4 linked regions of the Arabidopsis thaliana genome follow. The protein of the gene in region 1 interacts with the protein of each later gene in a pairwise test. Each region holds a gene or a part of one and is shown in the gene's direction. Other genes may lie near its edges. The genes, in order: ZML1, OFP13, WRKY45 and CAND1.

What was found.
Region 2: the proteins of ZML1 (region 1) and OFP13 interact in binary tests that used the Arabidopsis thaliana proteins (3 or more experiments, as listed by UniProt).
Region 3: the proteins of ZML1 (region 1) and WRKY45 interact in binary tests that used the Arabidopsis thaliana proteins (3 or more experiments, as listed by UniProt).
Region 4: the proteins of ZML1 (region 1) and CAND1 interact in binary tests that used the Arabidopsis thaliana proteins (3 or more experiments, as listed by UniProt).

The regions. Positions count from the first base shown.
Region 1 is NC_003074.8:7,420,035-7,425,786, forward strand, and holds ZML1 (ZIM-like 1), read left to right. Parts: upstream 1-2,001; 5' UTR 2,002-2,187; intron 2,188-2,787; 5' UTR 2,788-2,797; coding exon 2,798-3,091; intron 3,092-3,207; coding exon 3,208-3,300; intron 3,301-3,373; coding exon 3,374-3,507; intron 3,508-3,595; coding exon 3,596-3,727; coding exon of another isoform or gene 3,728-3,731; exon of another isoform or gene 3,732-4,098; coding exon 4,099-4,204; intron 4,205-4,331; coding exon 4,332-4,403; intron 4,404-4,501; coding exon 4,502-4,564; 3' UTR 4,565-4,871; downstream 4,872-5,752. Other genes in the region: AT3G21170 (F-box/associated interaction domain protein), read left to right, coding at 1-1,126; ACA9 (autoinhibited Ca(2+)-ATPase 9), read left to right, coding at 5,736-5,752. UniProt on the Arabidopsis thaliana protein: Transcriptional activator that specifically binds 5'-GATA-3' or 5'-GAT-3' motifs within gene promoters.
Region 2 is NC_003076.8:1,396,931-1,401,614, forward strand, and holds OFP13 (ovate family protein 13), read left to right. Parts: upstream 1-2,464; 5' UTR 2,465-2,754; coding exon 2,755-3,537; 3' UTR 3,538-3,854; downstream 3,855-4,684. UniProt on the Arabidopsis thaliana protein: Transcriptional repressor that regulates multiple aspects of plant growth and development through the regulation of BEL1-LIKE (BLH) and KNOX TALE (KNAT) homeodomain transcription factors.
Region 3 is NC_003074.8:324,912-329,469, reverse strand, and holds WRKY45 (WRKY DNA-binding protein 45), read left to right. Parts: upstream 1-2,057; 5' UTR 2,058-2,310; coding exon 2,311-2,564; intron 2,565-2,666; coding exon 2,667-2,856; 3' UTR 2,857-3,518; downstream 3,519-4,558. Other genes in the region: AT3G01980 (NAD(P)-binding Rossmann-fold superfamily protein), read left to right, coding at 637-728, 852-1,371, 1,445-1,723; AT3G01961 (uncharacterized protein), read right to left, coding at 4,119-4,289; AT3G01960 (uncharacterized protein), read left to right, coding at 4,383-4,558. UniProt on the Arabidopsis thaliana protein: Transcription factor. Interacts specifically with the W box (5'-(T)TGAC[CT]-3'), a frequently occurring elicitor-responsive cis-acting element.
Region 4 is NC_003071.7:687,510-692,974, forward strand, and holds the start of CAND1 (cullin-associated and neddylation dissociated), read left to right. Parts: upstream 1-2,274; 5' UTR 2,275-2,426; intron 2,427-2,802; 5' UTR 2,803-2,835; coding exon 2,836-2,871; intron 2,872-2,953; coding exon 2,954-3,129; intron 3,130-3,229; coding exon 3,230-3,437; intron 3,438-3,726; coding exon 3,727-3,892; intron 3,893-4,170; coding exon 4,171-4,300; intron 4,301-4,485; coding exon 4,486-4,600; intron 4,601-4,812; coding exon 4,813-4,970; intron 4,971-5,057; coding exon 5,058-5,181; intron 5,182-5,343; coding exon 5,344-5,394; intron 5,395-5,465. Other genes in the region: AT2G02550 (PIN domain-like family protein), read left to right, coding at 1-309, 1,088-1,255. UniProt on the Arabidopsis thaliana protein: Key assembly factor of SCF (SKP1-CUL1-F-box protein) E3 ubiquitin ligase complexes that promotes the exchange of the substrate-recognition F-box subunit in SCF complexes, thereby playing a key role in the cellular repertoire of SCF complexes.

The DNA.
Region 1 (5,752 bases):
TGTATTTCTAGCACGATTACGATCAACATCCAAACGATGGAACACTTTGATCAAAGATGGGAAACTTTCTAAGAAGCACTCTTCTAATGCTCCAAGGCACTCTATGGCTCTCGTGTTGATTGATCATAAGGTTTATTCAGTGAGATCCAATCTCCGTGGAATTCACAATAGCGTTGCTCCATATGTTAACATAACATGTCATTTTAGCCTAAAAGAACATCTTTCTAATAATTATTCAACAGAAGTCGATATAGGCCACGTCTTTCACTGCGATGGCTTATTGCTATGCACCACCAAGGACTATAGACTGGTGGTTTGGAATCCGCTTTCAGGTGAAACAAGGTGGATTCAACCAAGATTTTGCTACAAGAAAGATGACTGCTATGCTCTCGGTAGATCCTCTTGCAACAAGTACAAAATCTTGAGGCAGGGTCGTCTTATCAATCCTAGCGAAGAACGTTACGTGTACAACATCGTGGGGGAGGATCTTGTTATCAACAATAGCCAAGAACGTTACGAGTACGAAATCTATGACTTTAACTCTAATTCGTGGAGGAGTATTGGTGTGATCACCGGCTTGTTCAATCCAAATATCACCAGTGGCGTGTCTGTAAATGGAATCACTTACTGGTTTGATATTAGTGAACAATTCTTACTAAGTTTTGATTTCTCAACAGAGAGATTTGGAAGTGAGTCTCTCCCAGAGGGTGATAGTCATTTGGCTTTATCAGTGACTAGACAAGGGAAACGACTTTGTATGTTATCTACTAATTACACATACGTAACCGGAACAAACGTTAACTTATGGATAGCAACGAAGACTAGTGAGAACACCAGAGCAATGTCATGGAGCAAGTTCCCAATACTGCGGGGCGGAGTTGGTCTACGCTATCGTTGTCATTTTAGGGAAGGGGTGAGTTTCTTCGCATACCAAGTTAAGGAGAAGATTGTTGTAGTTTCTTGTCATAGACCCAACCGGCACTCCAAGGACATCATACACATTGTGGAAAATGATAAATTCATAGAATTGGATCATCATGGTGCAAAACCTACACATGAATTATCTCCTACCCCACGTCTCCTCATATATGTTCCAAGTTTGGTTCAAATTCAACATGGTATTTAGTTCTTTGGAGGAGGCACCAAGTCAGCCAGTGCATGGCCTTGTAATTGTCACACTAGTCTATGCATTATCTAATCTAACTCTTGATATTTTATAAGTAAGATATATGTACGCATTTCTAAGTTATAACTTGTTGCTACCCTTTTGCTAGTGGATAATTCGAGGCACATGGCATTTTCATAATTGGTCAATTAGTTATTAAGTACCAAAATTTTGAAAAGGAAAAAAATTAGAAATGCTTAGAACATATTAGAGCAAAACATATGTAAATTTTGTGCAAGAATAAGGGAAAAGCAAATAAAATCAAAATAAAATTGTATATTGTGGAATTAAGAAATGAAAGAGGAACGCAATTTAGTTTTAAAATCTGACATATTAGATATAGTTGAGTCAATTGTTTTCCACCGAAGAATTGGTTGTGGTTCCATCTAACTTAAGATATTTTGTGTTAAGATGGTTTATTTGTAGAGATATATTATAATTATATATGATTTCTAACCAAAACAACAAGAAGTTTTTAAAGATGGGTACAAATTGAATTAACTAATGTAATTCCACATTGTCATTTGGTAAAAGAAAGATATCTTGACAAAAGAGATTAAAAGAATTATGTGAAAAACCTTGGCGACCTTAAACCATCTCCAATGTCTTTATATCTTTGGCATCATTAAGAGTAAATGTGTATCTTGATCAAACCTGAAACCACTAAAGAAAAACATATGAACTCAAATAGAGGCCAATTAAAGATGAGGTCCAAAGAATAGGGAGTGTCAAGCCTTTCACAAAGACGACGCCGTTTGGCTAAAAAAGGCCCAAGATCACAACGACGACGTTTGCTGAAGAAAAATGAAAAATCTTTCACTACAATCATTAGACCAAAAAAGAAAAAAAAAATCAAAGGAGCTTCCTTTTTTCGCTCTCGTCTCCGTTTACCCTTTTGGGATTTTTCCCTAAACCTTTTTCTCTCTTTGTATAATCAAATCCTCTTTATCTTTCATTGTTTCGCGTGAATTAGCTCTGCAAAGGCTCTTCATTCTTCTCGCTTGGATTCCTCTGCACAAAAGGTACCCATTTGATGTCAATTTTGGTTTATTGTTTTGATTGCCCTGTCCAAGTGACAAGTCTTTGTATGTATGATATAGGTAGTGGGTTCTAGTTTGTAGATGAACTTGTCGAATTTGGAGGGTTTTTAGTTGGAAGCATTTATATGTGGGATTTGGAATTGTTCTGTCTATTTGTTCTTAGCTTAAAGGTTGGGACTTAGCTTAGGACTTATGAGCATGAGAGAAGGAGACTTTTTTTCCAATTCGAATCTGATTGATGAAACTTTTTTTACTGGATTTGGGTAGATATTGTTACGTTTTAAGGTAGTTGACTGTTGTTAGTTGTTGTTTACTCGAGATTAGATTATTGTCATCTACTCTTGTTATAAAAGAAGCTCCTTTGTACTATATCAGTGCTGATAACTATTAATGAAGTTCCTTTCCCTTAGGTGGAGATAGTTTCTTTGTATTTGCAAACTCAATTTATGTGAGAATATATCCACCATTATTGAGTTTCTTCAACCTATACCGTCTCTGACAATCTCGCTTTTTCGTTATTAAGAACGTTCCAGTCTTAATTAATGTTATCTTCCTTTGGATGTAATTGGTAACAAATTGCAGAAAAAAGACCATGGATGATCTTCATGGAAGAAATGGTCGAATGCACATTGGTGTAGCGCAAAATCCAATGCATGTGCAGTATGAAGATCACGGTTTGCACCATATCGACAATGAAAACAGTATGATGGATGACCATGCTGATGGTGGGATGGATGAAGGAGTGGAGACAGACATTCCTTCTCACCCTGGAAACTCAGCTGATAATCGTGGTGAAGTTGTAGACCGTGGAATTGAAAATGGAGATCAATTGACATTGTCCTTCCAGGGACAAGTTTATGTTTTTGACCGTGTCTCGCCTGAGAAGGTAACTTTAAGTTAATTTTGGTTCTTTGATGTTTTAGTTTTGGATACATATGGTCAACGTATCCACCTGGTTGGTTTTGTTTTTCGCTTATTGAAGTGCTGCTCAATATTATGCAGGTTCAAGCTGTGCTTTTGTTACTTGGTGGAAGGGAAGTACCACATACACTCCCAACAACCCTAGGATCACCTCATCAGAACAATAGGGTACTGGTAATAAAAGATTTAATACCATATGGGAAATCAGTTTATTCCCCAGTTTGTTGCTGACTAATAAATGAACCAGGGTCTATCTGGTACTCCTCAACGGCTTAGCGTTCCGCAGCGGTTAGCTTCTTTGCTCAGGTTTAGGGAGAAACGAAAAGGGAGGAACTTTGATAAGACTATTCGCTATACAGTCAGGAAAGAAGTAGCCTTGAGGTACGTTTATGTCAAGTACTAGCTTTTGTGTATGTCGAGCTTTTGAGATACGTCTGTTTTGCAATTAAGGTTTTGTTTGTTCATGCAGAATGCAGCGTAAGAAAGGTCAGTTCACGTCGGCTAAATCAAGCAATGATGATTCTGGATCCACTGGATCGGATTGGGGGTCAAACCAGAGCTGGGCCGTAGAAGGGACTGAGACTCAGAAGCCAGAGGTTTTGTAAGTTGAAAATGCTTTAAATTTCTTACAACAGTTATATTAACTTTAGTGAACTCGTTATAAAACCTCAATTAAGTCTAATACATGGAAACAATTTATTTGGTAACCATTTAATGACGCTCTTTTCACTTCCATAAACTTTGTCTATATACGTCAACTCTGAAATTTATAGTTATACTTATCATGATGGCATCACTCATTCGATACCTGCAACTGATAACTTATACTTGTGAGAGGATAAAAATAACTGAACCGACTATGTTGTTGCATGTTAAGTCATTGTAGTTGATATGAACTTATTTATAGCTTGGTATACTTGGAAAGCTTGTCTCTGTTCTTATTCTTCGTCAAATGGTTGTGAACATGTTAAGATGTCGACACTGTGGAACAAGTGAGAAGTCAACTCCAATGATGCGACGTGGACCTGATGGGCCAAGAACACTTTGTAATGCGTGTGGACTGATGTGGGCAAACAAGGTAAGCTAAGAGTTTCTTAGTTCACATTGATCACCTCGTCTCGTATCACTTTTTTGACTCATTGATCAGGCCTATATATCCGAGTATGAACCTAACAATAACATTCCCTTTGACTTTATAATATCAGGGGACTCTTAGAGACCTATCCAAAGTCCCTCCTCCGCAAACACCTCAGCATCTATCTCTGAATAAGAATGAGGTGAGCCGTGAGCGCAGTATTTCATAGAGCTGGAGTTTTGATTTGCTTATTAAGAGAACATACATTCATTTTTTTTTTCTCAATCACTTTTGTTGCAGGACGCAAATCTTGAGGCTGATCAAATGATGGAAGTAACTGGTGACATTAGCAACACACAGTGAGAACTGAGAAACCATTGGAAGCAAGAAAGGATCTCAAACAAAAACAGTTGTTATCATTTCATTTGATGATGGAATCGAATCTGAGTTGTGTTTAGGGTTTCTCTGGGTTAATCTCAGTCTATGTGGGCACATTTTAGTCTTCTACAAATTATAAGACACTCTTCACTTATTTAGAAGCTCACTCATCAGAAAAGAAAAAAAAAACTTTGCTCAGTCTCTCATCTGTGTGTTTGATTATATTTTCAGGCAGAAAACTTTTTTTTGTTCTTGTATTTGATTACAATTAGTTAAATATTTAAGACTTAGTAGAGATAATGCAATCTATGTATAAAAATAGAAACAATGATTGGTTATGTCGTGCAACCCAAGTGACCTTAATGTCGTACACACGTTCATCAGGTTAAAACGAAATTTCTCAGCAACTTCACTATTCTCTCTGTCACATTGTTTTATTCTTTTCCATTATCTTTATTGGAAACTTGATTAGAAAGAACTGATTAAGGTATGAAGATAATTAGTGTACCATTCTTCACATGATACGAGGTGAACAATAGTATATCAGAATACTAGAATAATTTTATAAGTTATAAAGATGAATGGTATACCACTTATTACAAAACGAAAACATAGTTAGATCTGAGAAGAAGGAAAGATTTTTGTTTTAAAAAATGAGATGGTTAGATATATGCCATGTTAAGAGATGCCACCATGTTCTTCTTCTTCTTCTTACCCGGAAAAAACTCTTTCTTCTTCTCTTTCCCATAAAAAGAAACAAAAAAAAACTAACTTCCCACAAATTTTGCCAAACCAAACCAAAAATAGTAATGATCTCATTCAATTTGAACCCTCTCTCCATTTTCTTTCATAGTTTTTTTTTAGGGTAAATCAAAATATTAATGTTGGTTAGAAACTCAAAAATTAGTTTCTCTTTTTTTTCTCTGTGATTGACAGAGAGGTAAGAGAAAAAAAAGAGAGAAAGTGTTTCGGTTTTTGTTGCCTTCTCTCGAGTTAGGCCTTCTCTCTTCCGTCACACCATCATTTTTTTTCTCCATAACGACCAAATCATAAAACCGGTCGTTCCTATTTTTTCTTTCTCTGCGTTTTTTGTTTCGAATTCTTCAATAGAATTTTAAAAGAAAGAAGAAAGCTGGGTGAGACGAAGGAAGGAAGAATGAGCACTTCGTCGAG
Region 2 (4,684 bases), on another chromosome or scaffold:
AGCATTTTTCTCATAAAACCTTGGACACTTCCACGAAACAAAATGCATTTATCTTGAGTTCTCTAGCTACTAATGATAATGCAAATAAATACTGAAGCTAAACAAAATGTAAACAAATTCTAAGCACAATATTGACCATTTATCAAATCTACCAACTTAAAAGTTAGTAAATATCAACATCAAAAATATTTGAGGTAAATTTCTTAAAATACTTTATTTAGTAATGGATAAAAAACAAAAAAAGTTTAAATCACCGTGGAAGTTGTTGAGAAGTTACTTCTAAGATTTCTTACAACTGTGCTTGGCATTTATTATTTCTTACACAGTTAAAACTCAAGTAGAATAATTATACTAATGTCGGTCTTTAGCAAGGGGATAAAAGAGGCATGTCCAAGATGTTCATGTATTATAATTTCGGTTTTCGTTGAATTGTTGAAATTGTGAACAGTTTCATAAAACCAAGTAAGAGTATTCAAATAACTTTTTGTTAATCAACTGTATAAATAGGGAGCAAATTTAAAAGGATAATATGGCAAAAATGTCGTATTTGAACATAAAATTAAAAAGATGTAGGAACACTGTAGAGTATTCCAAATATTGCATGTTATAAACTTTATTTTTAGACATCTTCATTTGCAAACACGTTACAAGTTGAATAGTCTATCATGAACACTGTAGAGTATTCAAAGTACTGTAAATGAAAAAATGTAATTTATATATAGTCTAATGTATTTAAAAATTTAAACCATAGAGAGGAATATACTGTACTTTTGTAAATTTGGTCCCCTAACTAAAGATCTAGTAGTAGAAGATGGAAATCCACAGTTAATATATGCGTGATTCAACGGTGCCCTCTTTAATTCCTCACATGAGTTTTGCACACAATCTTTCTCTCTCTTTTTCTTATTCTATGTTCCCATATTTATCCCACAAACGTTGATCCAATATCTTACGCAAATTAAGGCAAAACAGGAAATTTTTGCAAAAGAGAAAGATATGGAGGTGTTGGGTAAATAAAGTTGAAAATGTACGAAAATAATGATGCATTTATTTCACAACAATGGGTTTCAACATCAGATTGCTTCTGTTTAAATCTTTTACTACTTTCAGTTTTATATCTCTGATAAACTCTATAATATTGACTGATTCCTAAAGGACACTGTCTCAGGATCTATCCCCTACATTCTTGTTCTACCTTGATGGATCATATATTTTACCTTAGTAAAGAAAATCGTCCAAGAAATTCATCATTAATTAAAAACATACATATAACATAGTCCTTCTTCGAATATAAGACTTCAATTCCTCAAAAAAAATTAAACGAAATAAATTATTTTTAAATATATATTCAAGAAACTGATGTTCATCGAGTTTAATTATTCAGTTGAATTACAATTCTTACTTTTAGAAATTTGTATTGCGACCAAGAAGAAACATTCTTTAAGCTCAAAGCTTCATATAATTTACACATACGTAATTTATAGATAACACGTTGACCGAGAGTATTAGAAGCTCACAGTGCTTATAGGAAAGTCAAAACTGACTGCATCAGTACGATTTTTACGTGTTCGTTTATGGATTATATAATACAAAATAGCTTATACATCAGTTTTAAAAAAATTAAACAAATTAATTAAGATGTAAAACACTATTAAAGTCGTAAAGAGAGAGTAATTAAAAATGAGAAGAAGATTTGACAAGACGAGCCAATAGACAAGAATGTAGTACCGTCAATCAACCTTTATAAAGTAGTAGTAGTATATAAAATTACTAAATGTTTATTGGGATTTGTTTTTCTGCAACATTTTCTTGTAAGCAATCGTTTTTAATGCTTTGTGTTCTGCACAGTGCTTTGTCATTGGCTCGGGACTAACATTTTTTCTAGTATTATTTTATTTTATTTTAATTAAAATATTTAATTTTTCTTGTCTTCAACCAAATTGAATGCTACTGCTGTGTCTTACTATACTTGTTCATGAGTATAATATTATCATCTTAAATTTAGATAACAAAGACAAAATAAAAATTCAAATTCCCATAGAGCCATTATATCGTGTTTGCATGAAACTTTTGTTAGTTAAAAAATACAAATTCAACCTCTCCAACAAGGCAATAACAACCCATGGAGCTAATAATATGTAAACTGCATGAGGATAAGTGTTTTCGTCACACAAGAAGATTGTCAATTTTTCAAAACAGCAAAATATTTGTAAAAAACATAATTCTTCCACTCATGTGTATATCAATAAAATCACAACGACAAAAACATTATTGTAAAATGTAGCAATAAACTATTTGTAAAAATAATATATCTCCATTATAAAAACATTTTTGTAAAATTGATCAATTATTAGATCGAATAGTGTAGAAAAAACCAATATTAAAAATTTGGATTGTAGCAAATCAAATATTGGAAAAAACTATTGAAATCCCGGTTGAACAGAAAACGAATCGAAAAAGCTAACCACAAAGCAAAACAAAAACAAACTATCAACTTCAATCATCGTAATTTTTATAGTTAAGACTTTAGACTAAATAAGTAAAAGCACTTCAAATAACTAACCAGAAAAAAATGGAAAATTAACAACAAATAGAAAAATATCCCAAAATTAAATAGACACATGACCTGACCCCACCAGCTCTCTCTTCTCTCCCCATATATCGCATTCCCTCCAACTCCTTCCTCTTCCATTAATTACTAAACCCAAACCCAACCAAAGATCTTCACAAAGAAAAAAACAATTGGTGGTATCAATGGGGAAGAAGAAGATGAAACTCTCTTCTCTGTTCAAAGGCGGAGCCGGAGGATTACTAGCGGTTCCTCTCTGTTACAATGCCAAAACTCTTTCGTTCCGAGTCGGCGACGACATGATCAAGACGGTGAACTCTGTTTTCTTCGACCACCACCACAACAACAACAATGGAGGAGATTTGTTGGAAGCGGAGACGCCTGAGTCATGGTTTACTAACTCGTCCGAGACAGCGAGTCACTCAACCGAGTCGGATCAAGACCTTGACGCTGAGTCCTTAGAGATGGTGGTTCGTGGCGTTGTTAGATCGGAGCGGTTATTCTTCGATCCAGGAGTTACGAGTTCGATTCTGGAAGAGATTGAAGAGAAATCGAAATCGGATTTGAAATCGAAGGAAACGGTTGCGGTGGGAGAAGATCGGAGTACGCCGATTGAGGAGATTAGTGTCGCGGTGGCGATGGAATCCGAGGATCCGTACGGTGATTTCCGGCGATCGATGGAGGAGATGGTGACGAGTCACGGTGAGTTGGCTAAAGATTGGGAGAGCTTGGAATCGATGCTCGCTTGGTATTTGAGGATGAATGGGAGGAAGAGTCACGGCGTTATCGTCAGTGCTTTTGTTGATCTTCTCTCTGGACTCTCTGATTCCGGCGCCGGAATAACGTCGGCTTCGGTATCGGATTCGGCTCGTTATTCAACCGCCGTTTCGTCTTTGCCGTCGTCGCCGGTTTATTCGTTATCTCAAGGTCAGACGGAGATTCAAGAGGAAGAGAGACGGAGCTGTTAAAAATAAAAAAAGGCTTAAGATTCGGTTTTAAATTTTTTAATCTCCGGTTTTGTTTAGATTAATTAACCCTTTTTGGATTTTGTAAAAAGTAATTAGTGGTTAGAGGAAAAAGAACCATTAAATATATATCAAAAATATTTTTAGAGCCATTATTGTTGATTTATGTGTATAACAGTGCCTTTTGTCATAACTCGAAAGTTACACTATTTTTCCCCCAAAATTCATGAAACTCAGCGAAGTTTATGCCAACAGATTCAGAGAAATTTTGTATAACAGCCCCATTTTAAAAGGAAATATACATAAGAATAAATTCTGTGATACTTCTTTTTATTTAAGCTCTTTATTTTTTACTTCTTTTTTAGGTTTTAAAGGACATAGAATTATAATTTCTCATTTTTTTTGCAGGCATATTATATAGCCTTTCTCATTAGATGTAGGCATGTAGCTCCTTTGGCATCCATATTAAAAATTTTTTTGTCACAAATATTGGACCTTACATTTTTTTTCCCCAAATAAAATTTGGTATTACGAATTTTCGATGGTTACACAAGGACTACTACACTAACATAAACTGTAAGACTCATTAAATATCATGCTCGGATAATTCATGTATTAACATTAATAACATAGAGATTTTATTTATTGATTTGACTCTTAAAAGCATCATCACGTAAGATATTTAGCAAAACCCTTTTTGTGATATCCATGCTGGAGTTAAAATCTTGAAAATAAGCGTAATAGAAACACCCGTAGTGTATGTATAAATGTAATTGTCATGAACTTATGAGATTCAAGTTTTAAAAATACAGAAAAGGATAGTGTATTTACGAGGGTGCATTAAAAGAGAATGTTGGTCTATAGTAACGTTTGAATTGAAATGTTACAAAAGAGATTTGTAATTTGTATTTTGTATTGTGAAGTGAATGGAGTAACATGAGATGAGCAATGGTGCTGTGGTCAGTGGTCACACACACACAGGCCCTGTGAATCCCAACATCATAGACCTACTCACTTCTCTCTTATCTCTTTTCATTTATTACTCTACATTTAATTTTGGGACCAACCTAGACGACGACGTTTATTTGTTTTTGTTTTGTTTGTTTTGTTTTGTTTCCTTTCTTTTCATAATTTTAGAGCTATGCATGTT
Region 3 (4,558 bases), 7.1 Mb from region 1:
AATGGACTAGCTAATAACAAGTTCCTCCTCTATATATTTCAAAAGAATGGAACAGAAACATAAACGAAAGACAGAGTACCTGATGTTGATGATTCATTGTCTGTCTGGAGCTCCCAAATGCCTTTTATGCTTACATATTCATAACCAACAACGGCTATTAATTATAAACCAAAAACACGAAATAAGTTTGTAGCAAAGTGAAATTAGGAATCTTGGAGATGGATCCATTAGTAGTAGGATAATAGGATATGATGGAATTTGGTTGGGGAACAGTGATAACTTACGCTTGCTTCCGGCGCCGGGAAAGTTGGAAAACCTACAAAGTACAGAAATGGATCTGGGCCTTGAAGTGGGCTTTTTATTAAAGAAAAAAATACATCTCCGTTATCAATCACCATCTTCTTCTATCTACAAATTAAAGAAGGTAACAACAGAACGTGGTGGATCATGTGGTTAGGCATTAATTATTTGCTTTGTTTCGCCGTTTTGGTAACACACAGACACAGTTCCGGTAAGAGCTTTTGCAGCCACTCTTTATAGTTATTTAGAATTGGCGATCGAATCAATCTCACTCCCTCCCTCCCTTAAGTCTTGTTGAATCTGCTGAATTGTTTTATAAAGAGTTACTTTGGCAAAATGGAAAATCCGGCGAAGAGAGTGTTGATGACATCCAACGGCGACGAGGTGTCCCGAAACATCGCTTTCCATCTAGCCAAACACGGTTGCAAGTGAGTCTCTCATTTTGTCTTCTTTCCTCCTATCCTGTGTTTCTTCTTCTAGCCCCGATTTGTGTTGTGGTTGACTTTGGTGTCTATAGTTAACCTTCAAAAAATGCAATGTACTGTTGCTAGGTTGGTAATGATGGGAAATGAGGGTTCCCTAAGGAGCATTGTAGACAAGATTAGAGATTCCATTGAGGGAGCCTTCCCTGCCGATGTTATAGCACTCGACATGGAATCTGACTCTGAAGTTGCTTTTCATGCCGCTGTCCAAAAGGCATGGGAACTTTCCGGCCATTTCGATGCTTTTCTCAACTCTTATACCTACCAAGGTTTAATTTGCTTCTTGTTTTTCACTACCCTGCCTTTGATGCTCTTGTGTGTTGATCATTCCTTTATTCAACAATCTTTCTTTCTTGCAGGAAAGGTGCAGGACATTCTTCAAGTCTCTCAAGATGAGTTCCACAGAATCACAAAGATCAATCTCACCGCTCCATGGTTTCTCTTGAAGGCTGTAGCCACAAGGATGAAGGACCATGGATCAGGAGGCTCCATTGTCTTCATGGCCACTATCGCCAGCGGAGAGAGGGCGCTTTACCCTGGCGCTGATGCCTACGCTTCAACTTCTGCCGCTATTCACCAGCTCGTCCGGGTATGCATCCTAGCTCCTAATTAGACACATCGCGTTCGTAACTTGAATATGTTTGTTGATGATTGGGTTTCAGGCATCAGCCATGAGTCTCGGGAAGCACAAGATACGGGTCAACATGATCTCTAGAGGGCTGCATCTGGATGATGAGTATACAGCTTCTGTGGGAAGAGACCGAGCGCAGAAGCTGGTCAAGGACGCTGCACCCCTCGGCCAGTGGCTCAACCCGGACACAGACCTCTACTCCACTGTTATCTACTTGATCAGCGATGGCTCACGCTTCATGACAGGCACCACTGTCTTGGTGGATGGAGCGCAGTCCCTTACGCGACCCCGTCTCAAATCCTACATGTGATCAATGCCTAGTATTATTATAATTCTATGTTGTGTGTAAAAAGTGAATATGAATCAAGTTTGAATAACTATGGAGGGATGAATAATCCATGGAATCAATGATTATATACTTTTGACAAGTATAGAAGAAAGCAAAGAGCCAAAATAGTCAACAATCTCAACATCATTCGAGCTCATTGTTTATTGAATTCAATCAAGTTTGGTAGGTGAACCTCAAATACACGTGATATTGGATATTATCTTGGAAACCTTGCTAATCCAAATTGTAAATCAAATAAGAAAAGAATGATTACCTCAGAGATCTAGATGCATATTGATTCTTGACCAAGAAATATGTTTGAAATTTGAATCCATTGAACCAAAATTTGAAGGAGTTGCATATATAATAATATAAATCAGAATGATGTAGCCGCCACACCTTTTTGTTTCCACAAAACTCTTTTTCTGTGATGGATCCGCTAATGTAGCCATATTTTCAATATATATCACTTTCTCTGGCATCTTCGCTACCGTGTACGTCTCTCTTTCTCTCCCTCCCCTCCTTGGCTTTTTTCAAGTTCCCACCATAAACGCAGAGGGAGTTAAGAAATGGAGGATAGGAGGTGTGATGTGTTGTTTCCATGTTCATCATCGGTTGATCCTCGCTTGACAGAGTTTCATGGGGTCGACAACTCTGCTCAGCCGACAACATCATCCGAAGAGAAGCCAAGGAGTAAGAAGAAGAAGAAAGAGAGAGAAGCGAGGTACGCGTTCCAGACAAGAAGCCAGGTTGATATACTGGATGATGGATACAGGTGGAGGAAGTACGGCCAAAAAGCAGTCAAGAACAATCCATTCCCCAGGTACGTACTTAATCATCAATGAATGATACTGTATGCTTGCTATGGTGATCAAATAAGAGACTCATATACATACATGTAAAATATGAATATATATATATATAGGAGCTATTATAAGTGCACAGAAGAAGGATGCAGAGTGAAGAAGCAAGTGCAGAGGCAATGGGGAGACGAAGGAGTGGTGGTGACGACATACCAAGGTGTTCATACACATGCCGTTGATAAACCCTCTGATAATTTCCACCACATCTTGACACAAATGCACATCTTCCCTCCCTTTTGCTTGAAGGAATGATTAGAGGAATTGGATTGTAATATTTACTTTCCCAAAAACGTTGGGCTCACACCATCAGACCTTTACTTTTAAACTAGCAGCAACTCACATATCTCAAAAATACTAATCCTTATCTTTGTCTTTATGGGACCTTTGAATCCATCTGCTTTGGTGTCTTAGTCTCGGCTGCCCTGTAATCGAAAGTATATTCATCATCAAATTACCAAACATAAAGAAGCAATGATGAGTCTATCATCTACAAAAACAATGTTATGTATCCCAAACCTACCGATTATTCCAAAACTAGTGACAAGCTAAGGATATTGTGGAGATGAAGATGAGAAAGAGTACGAAAGCTAACTTTGAGGTTTCTTCTTGGATCCAATTGCGAATATGCTTCACGTTTCGCTTTAGAACGGAGGACGCTTTCTTTGTTAGGCCCATTAGCCTGGGCTCTCGTGTTTTTCATAATGTCAAGTCAGCCCAACAAGCCCAAATCTTTACAAAAAGAACCAAGGACCATGTCATCCGGAATATGGTGATATTATTGGATTATACCATTGGACCATTTAACACAAAAGCAAATATGCAACAGAATATATATAGATCACATAACAGTCAGAATCTTCTCAAAAGATATGCTTTCTTCCTTTTCTATTCTAGAGTGTTTTGATGACATCGGCACGAAGATAATGTTATTTTACAGATTTAGCTAATTAAGTCTTTCGTAATAATTATCAAACTCAAATTGTTGCGTTTTAATTTACCGCCGCCACAATACCGCACGAAGATAATGTTATTCGCTTGTGAATTTCTTTATATTAATCTCTCACGAATAAATTAATTCACATTCTTACATAAATCGAAACTTATCCACATTTTCTTGATTCTTTTCAAAAGTTATACGAAAAAGTTAGTTACACAAAATTTATTAAACACGGATAAAATAACGGTTCCTTAATCTCAACACTTTCACTTTTTTCCGAACCCATTGAATGGAAAAATGTTATGTTCTTTTTTTATATAGCAATTGGGAAAATATGTTTTGCAATGAGAAATTGTAGAGTTTGCGGCTTTGCGCCATCCATTATTTCATATAGAACTTAGAGAATAATATATCTATTAATTGAACTACAAGATATATCTTATAAATTTTCTCCGAGATATTTCTCATAAATCGTCCGTATCATCTGTCTACCGCGGAAGATAGATAATTAAGGAGCGTAAATATAGTGCGTAAGGATTGAACCCTGTACTGTATAATTACACATATATCATATATTTTAAATTGTAAAATGAGATGTGTCGTCGTGGCTGTTTGAGCCTGAAAGTTGAGATCTCGTCATCAACATGTTATGCTTCTGAGTGATATTATTGCAAGACGAAGGACCACGCGTCTTTGATATCTCTATCTCCCTGCATGTATTCGTCACAACATAACGAAACCCTCCCATATATATCTACGCAACAACACACTATGTTTGAATGCATGAAACACCAGCTACAGGTAGATCTCGATCGGGAAAGAAAAAAAGAGTTGTAATATCATGGAGATGAACAGAAGGAGATCAAGAGGGTTCATGATAGCTAAGCTAATGCCCTTTTGCAAAGCTGTGAAATCTCCAACTCCTTCCCAAGACCTTTATAATAATGTTCATTACACTTCTTCCACTACGACTTCCTACGCTCGTCAACCTGATTTCAACAACTACGTAACTGCCAC
Region 4 (5,465 bases), on another chromosome or scaffold:
AATAATGCCCGGAAATTCTTGGAGGAACCAACTACACCCAACTCTGAACATATAATGTTTGTCATCAAAAAAGTCAAACAATTCATCGACCGTAATGTGAATCCTATTCTTGTTTTCGATGGACATCGTTTACCTATTAAGTCACCGCGGAACCCAATAAAAACTCTAGAATACGCAAAGGATCTTGACGCATCAGCACAACTTATGGCTCCCGATGACCCTAAGAGAAAGGACAAAGAGAAGAATGCTACTAAGATCTTTCAAAGTCATATACACATCACGCCTTATGTGATACATGTTTTCATTGAGGTAACATTTACGGTAAATAATTATTTTTAAGAATTTTCACTTCTTTCTAATTTTTTATTAACCTTTCTTTTTTCTCCCATTGAAGGTTTAAAAAAAAAAAGTATCCGAATATTGAGTTTATCGTTGCTGCTCACAGCTTGTATATTTGGCTAATAATAAAGATAAAAGCGTTTATGCGGTTCTCACTATTAACACTGACCTCATACCATTTAGATGTTGAAGAGTAAGTTCTTTAATACACTTATCAATTATTATTATTTTAAAGGTTTTTCTCATGTAGACATAACATTAATTTTTACTACCACTTTAAACTTTTGTGTGATCACAAATTATTTTCGCCAGTAAAGACTTTGAATTGCTTGAACTCGAAATGATAGACTTATTGAAGCGGTTTCATAGTAGCAAGAAAAATAAAGACAACGAAAAAGAAACTAAAGAAGAAGCAAAATCTTACGATTTTTCAGAATTCACAGACGATAATTTTCTGGAGATGTGCATTCTTTGCGATTGTGACTATTTTAAATGGCCATTAACGGAGGGATCCGAAAGAGCATATGAAATAATTGGTACTAAAACTATACGTGGTAGAGAGGTACTTTTTACTTGGTTTAGTTCAAAATAGTAGTATACTATACATTTAGATTTTGTATTTGCATGTATGATGACATGATGTGTGTTATTCATTTTCTTTCAGGTAATAGAGGAACTACTAGAGGACAGCACTGACCTAACTTCTCATCTGAAAAAATTCATAATTTTGTTGCTTTTCAAATATTAGTATGTCTATAATCAAGTAATTGAAGAGCTTCAACACTTGAATGTGCCTGAGGTGTCTAACCTTCCATTCTTGCGTGACCGTGAGTCTGGCGATGAATTTGTCATTCGAAAGTATGAAGATTCTACGGGCACATATTTGTCAACAACTAAGACTAAGGAAATAGCATAAGGAAGACTTAATCCTGAAACCCACGAAAAATTTACACACGTGGAAGTGGAAGAAACAGATGACGAAGAAACTACTTAGACAAAAGTATCTAATAATTTGAATTTCGAAGTTCTAGTTCAAAATAAAGGAAGTCTAATTTCGACAAAAAATCTCACATCTATACCATATTTTACGGTTTTAGTTTTTTTTAGTCGTTAGCAACAATGACAATCAGTTATATTTTGTTAACTTTATAATCGTTAGCGATGACTATCGACAATGAAATCATGTTTATTTGGTAGTCGTTGGGTCGGGAACATTTAACAAATGATTTTGATTCAATTTTTTTTTTTTCTTATAAACCTTATCGGCTGATCTGGTTAGCCCTAGTAAAAACACACCGAAATGTTTTCGAGTGGACTTCTTCCCGAAAAACCACCATACTGTCTGTCTGTCACGAGTTTGAAATGCTTTCTGACTAATGCCAGGGGGTAGTCAGGCGGCCGCCTACATTTCTAATTACCAAGTAAACCAATTAAACCAAGACCCAACTTATACACTTACCAACTTTCAAGGAGAATCGAACTCGGGTCTAAGAGTTTCATCCTTCCCAAAGCTTCCCCTACCACTAAACCACATATACTTGGCCTAGGTTGAAAACTTTCAGTGATACAATTTTTTACTTGCTAATCGTTCAAAAATATTGACCATAAATTGTCGATGAACCAATGGCTAACACTATTTAGTTGGTTGGTCGCAATCGCATAGCATGTCCCTGACACAAAAAAAGCAAACAAAAAAAGAACTACTTGGATCAAACAAAGAAACCCATGCTTGGGCTCAGACTGAAAACAAAGTAATTGGGCCAAACCCATTTAGTATTAACCGACTAATCAAGTCCAACAATGTACAGCATGAAATAAACGCTACCCATTAACCGACTCAAATCGCACCAAGTCAGGCCCAATTAATCCTACACAGGCCCATTTAGAAGAAAGTTAACTTCCTCCTTAAGAAGAGAGAAGGGCTAAAAATCAAGCTTTCACGAGTACGGAAATTTACAGTATCTCCTCCATCTTTTTTTACTTTCCTCAGAGCTCTCTCCTCTCCGCAACTTCCACCACCACCAAATCGGAACTCTCGGCGTTCTACTCCGTCTCCGGCGTTACCTCCGTCGATTTCATCTTCTCAGGTTACTTAGGGTTACCTCTTTTTTGCTTTTTGATCGATAAAGTGTGATGATGTCTAGCGTTAACTCTTTTCGTCTTCGTAGTCGTAGTCTTAGGGTTTTGGTGGCGACGATACTTTGATTTATCAAACCGAACTTCTTCTTTGTGATCTTCGATGAATCAAAAGTTTTCTAAGGGATATTAATTAGGTTTTGTTACCGGCGATAATTAATCCATCTTCGATGCTTCTTCTTTACACTTCTGACTTTGTTTCTGATGTTTTAACCTCTGTGGAGAGCTTGATAGAGTGACATTGCTCTGACTAAGCGTTTTAGTTCAACGCATGGTTGATTCTCTTTTTACTAAGTAATGAATTTTGAGATCCTTGTTTGATTGCAGTTGGAAGGAGTGAATTGAGAAGGTCGGGCCAATATGGCGAACTTACAAGTTTCTGGGATACTCGAAAAGGTCTTTTCATCATCTGTTTCTAATTAAGCTTAATTTTGTTTTTGAGTATAGTCACCTTTTCTCATTGCTGTATTTACTATAGTTTCAGATGACGGGTAAAGATAAAGATTACAGATACATGGCAACCTCTGATTTGCTTAATGAGTTGAATAAGGATTCCTTTAAAATCGACCTGGACTTGGAGGTGAGATTGTCGAGTATCATATTGCAACAGCTCGATGATGTGGCTGGTGATGTTTCTGGATTGGCTGTTAAATGGTTAGCTTTCTGCTCTTAGCAACTTATGACCTAAGCTGATGTTATACTTTTACATTTAGCTGATCTATCGTCGACCTTTGATGTTATGATTTTGTTCCAGTCTTGCTCCATTGGTGAAGAAGGTTGGAGAAGAACGAATTGTTGAAATGACCAACAAGTTATGTGATAAACTGCTGCATGGGAAAGACCAGCATCGTGATACCGCAAGCATAGCTCTCAGGACTGTTGTCGCTCAAATTGCTCCTACGCTTGCTCCATCTATTCTTGTTACTCTAACACCACAAATGATAGGAGGAATAAGTGGCCAGGTTAGTTGTTGGGAGGTCTATTCCTTATTATTTCGATTGCATATGCGACAGTGCTTAGGGTCGTCCTAGACAATTTCGGATCCCATCAAAATCATATTGATTGACATCTATTGGAAAATTAGTTGATTTTACGTTTTAAGTTTTATTGGATCTAATACAGTTAAAGAACTCTGTCTGAAAAACTCTTAGTAGACCAGAGCACAGTATATGCATATAATTATTTGTCTACTCTAAGGTTCTATCATCTTATTTTACAAGTAACTAATTTTCTGCGTATTTACTGCTGAAGGGAATGAGCTCAGGGATCAAGTGTGAATGTCTTGAGATCATGTGTGATGTTGTTCAAAAATATGGAAGTTTAATGACGGATGATCACGAGAAGCTATTGAATACATTGTTATTGCAATTGGGCTGTAACCAAGCCACAGTCAGGAAGAAGACTGTTACATGCATTGGTAAGTTCATAAAATTGAGTCAATATGATTGCTGGGTACTGTCGGTACTAATGTCAATATTTAGCTAATTTGAAACCAACTTTAATCTGCCGAGACTTGAGTGGTAGCTTTCCTTATCTATATTAGAAATATGGTTTTCAGCTGTTTGCGTCAATTCTTGTGAAACCGATGCTAGTTCAAATGATATATTCAATGTCATTTTTTTCCTAGTCGTATATAGAACTCTTAATTCGATGGTATATAGCCTCTTCTAAGTTCAAAATTTTGTGTGGTGTCAGCTTCTCTTGCTTCCAGTCTGTCTGATGATTTGCTCGCGAAGGCGACTGTTGAAGTTGTGAAAAATCTAAGTAACAGGAATGCAAAATCGGAGATTACACGTACCAATATTCAAATGATTGGAGCTTTATGGTACTTCCTATCTTCCTTCTTATCGGCTTGTTATATATCTTTAACTTCTTACCATACGTTACTGTAGTGTTGTAGTATGCTTCGGTTAGTTGTACTTGTGCTACCTATTTATTGATTGGGATGAATGGTTATCTACGACTAGGCTTGCCATGGTTGTAATGCTATTTAATGCGTTTTTGTTTCAGCCGTGCTGTTGGTTACCGGTTTGGCACTCATCTAGGTAACACTGTGCCAGTATTAATCAATTACTGCACTAGCGCTTCAGAAAATGACGAGGAGCTTCGCGAGTATAGCTTACAGGTATCGTGCAAGATTCCCTAATGTTCCTACTTTCTCACTACGCTTGCATTTTTTGTTTTCTCATCTAATTTTTGTAATCAGACAATTACTTAGGCGTGCTTGTAGTCTCTTTTCTTTCCTATGCTATTAAATTGGAATTCTAATCTTAGGTTCAATAAAATTGGTATGAACAATGTAGACGATAACATGTCTGTTCTGAAATTTGACTGCAGGCACTTGAAAGTTTCTTGCTACGATGTCCCAGGGACATCTCACCATATTGTGATGAAATTTTAAATCTTACTTTAGAATATATTAGTTATGACCCGAATTTTACGGACAATATGGAGGAAGATACTGATAATGAGACTCTTGAAGATGAAGAAGATGAGTAAGTTCTGATTTATTCATTGGAACAGTAGCCTAGCTCCTTACGGTGCACCATTATCTCACTGAAATAAGTCTTTCTTTCTCACAGCGAGAGTGCAAATGAGTACACAGATGATGAAGATGCCAGCTGGAAAGTTAGGAGAGCAGCGGCCAAATGCCTAGCAGGATTAATCGTTTCGCGTTCTGAGATGCTCACTAAAGTATATCAAGAGGTATATCTTTTTTAAATGATCAAGCGTATTATCTTTCATGACGGGAGTGTACAAGATTCCCTTACACAAGAGTTTTTCATTCTTTTACCTGTGTTTGATTAAATATGAAACAAGAATCTACTATAGAATTATTGTTGAGGAGTTTAGTCTCTTCTTGTGCAGGCCTGCCCGAAACTAATTGATAGATTTAAGGAAAGGGAGGAAAATGTGAAGGTATGTAATTTAATCCATTAATGCTCTATTCTTGCTTTGCAATATGGTTATTGATCTAAGACTGAGGTACT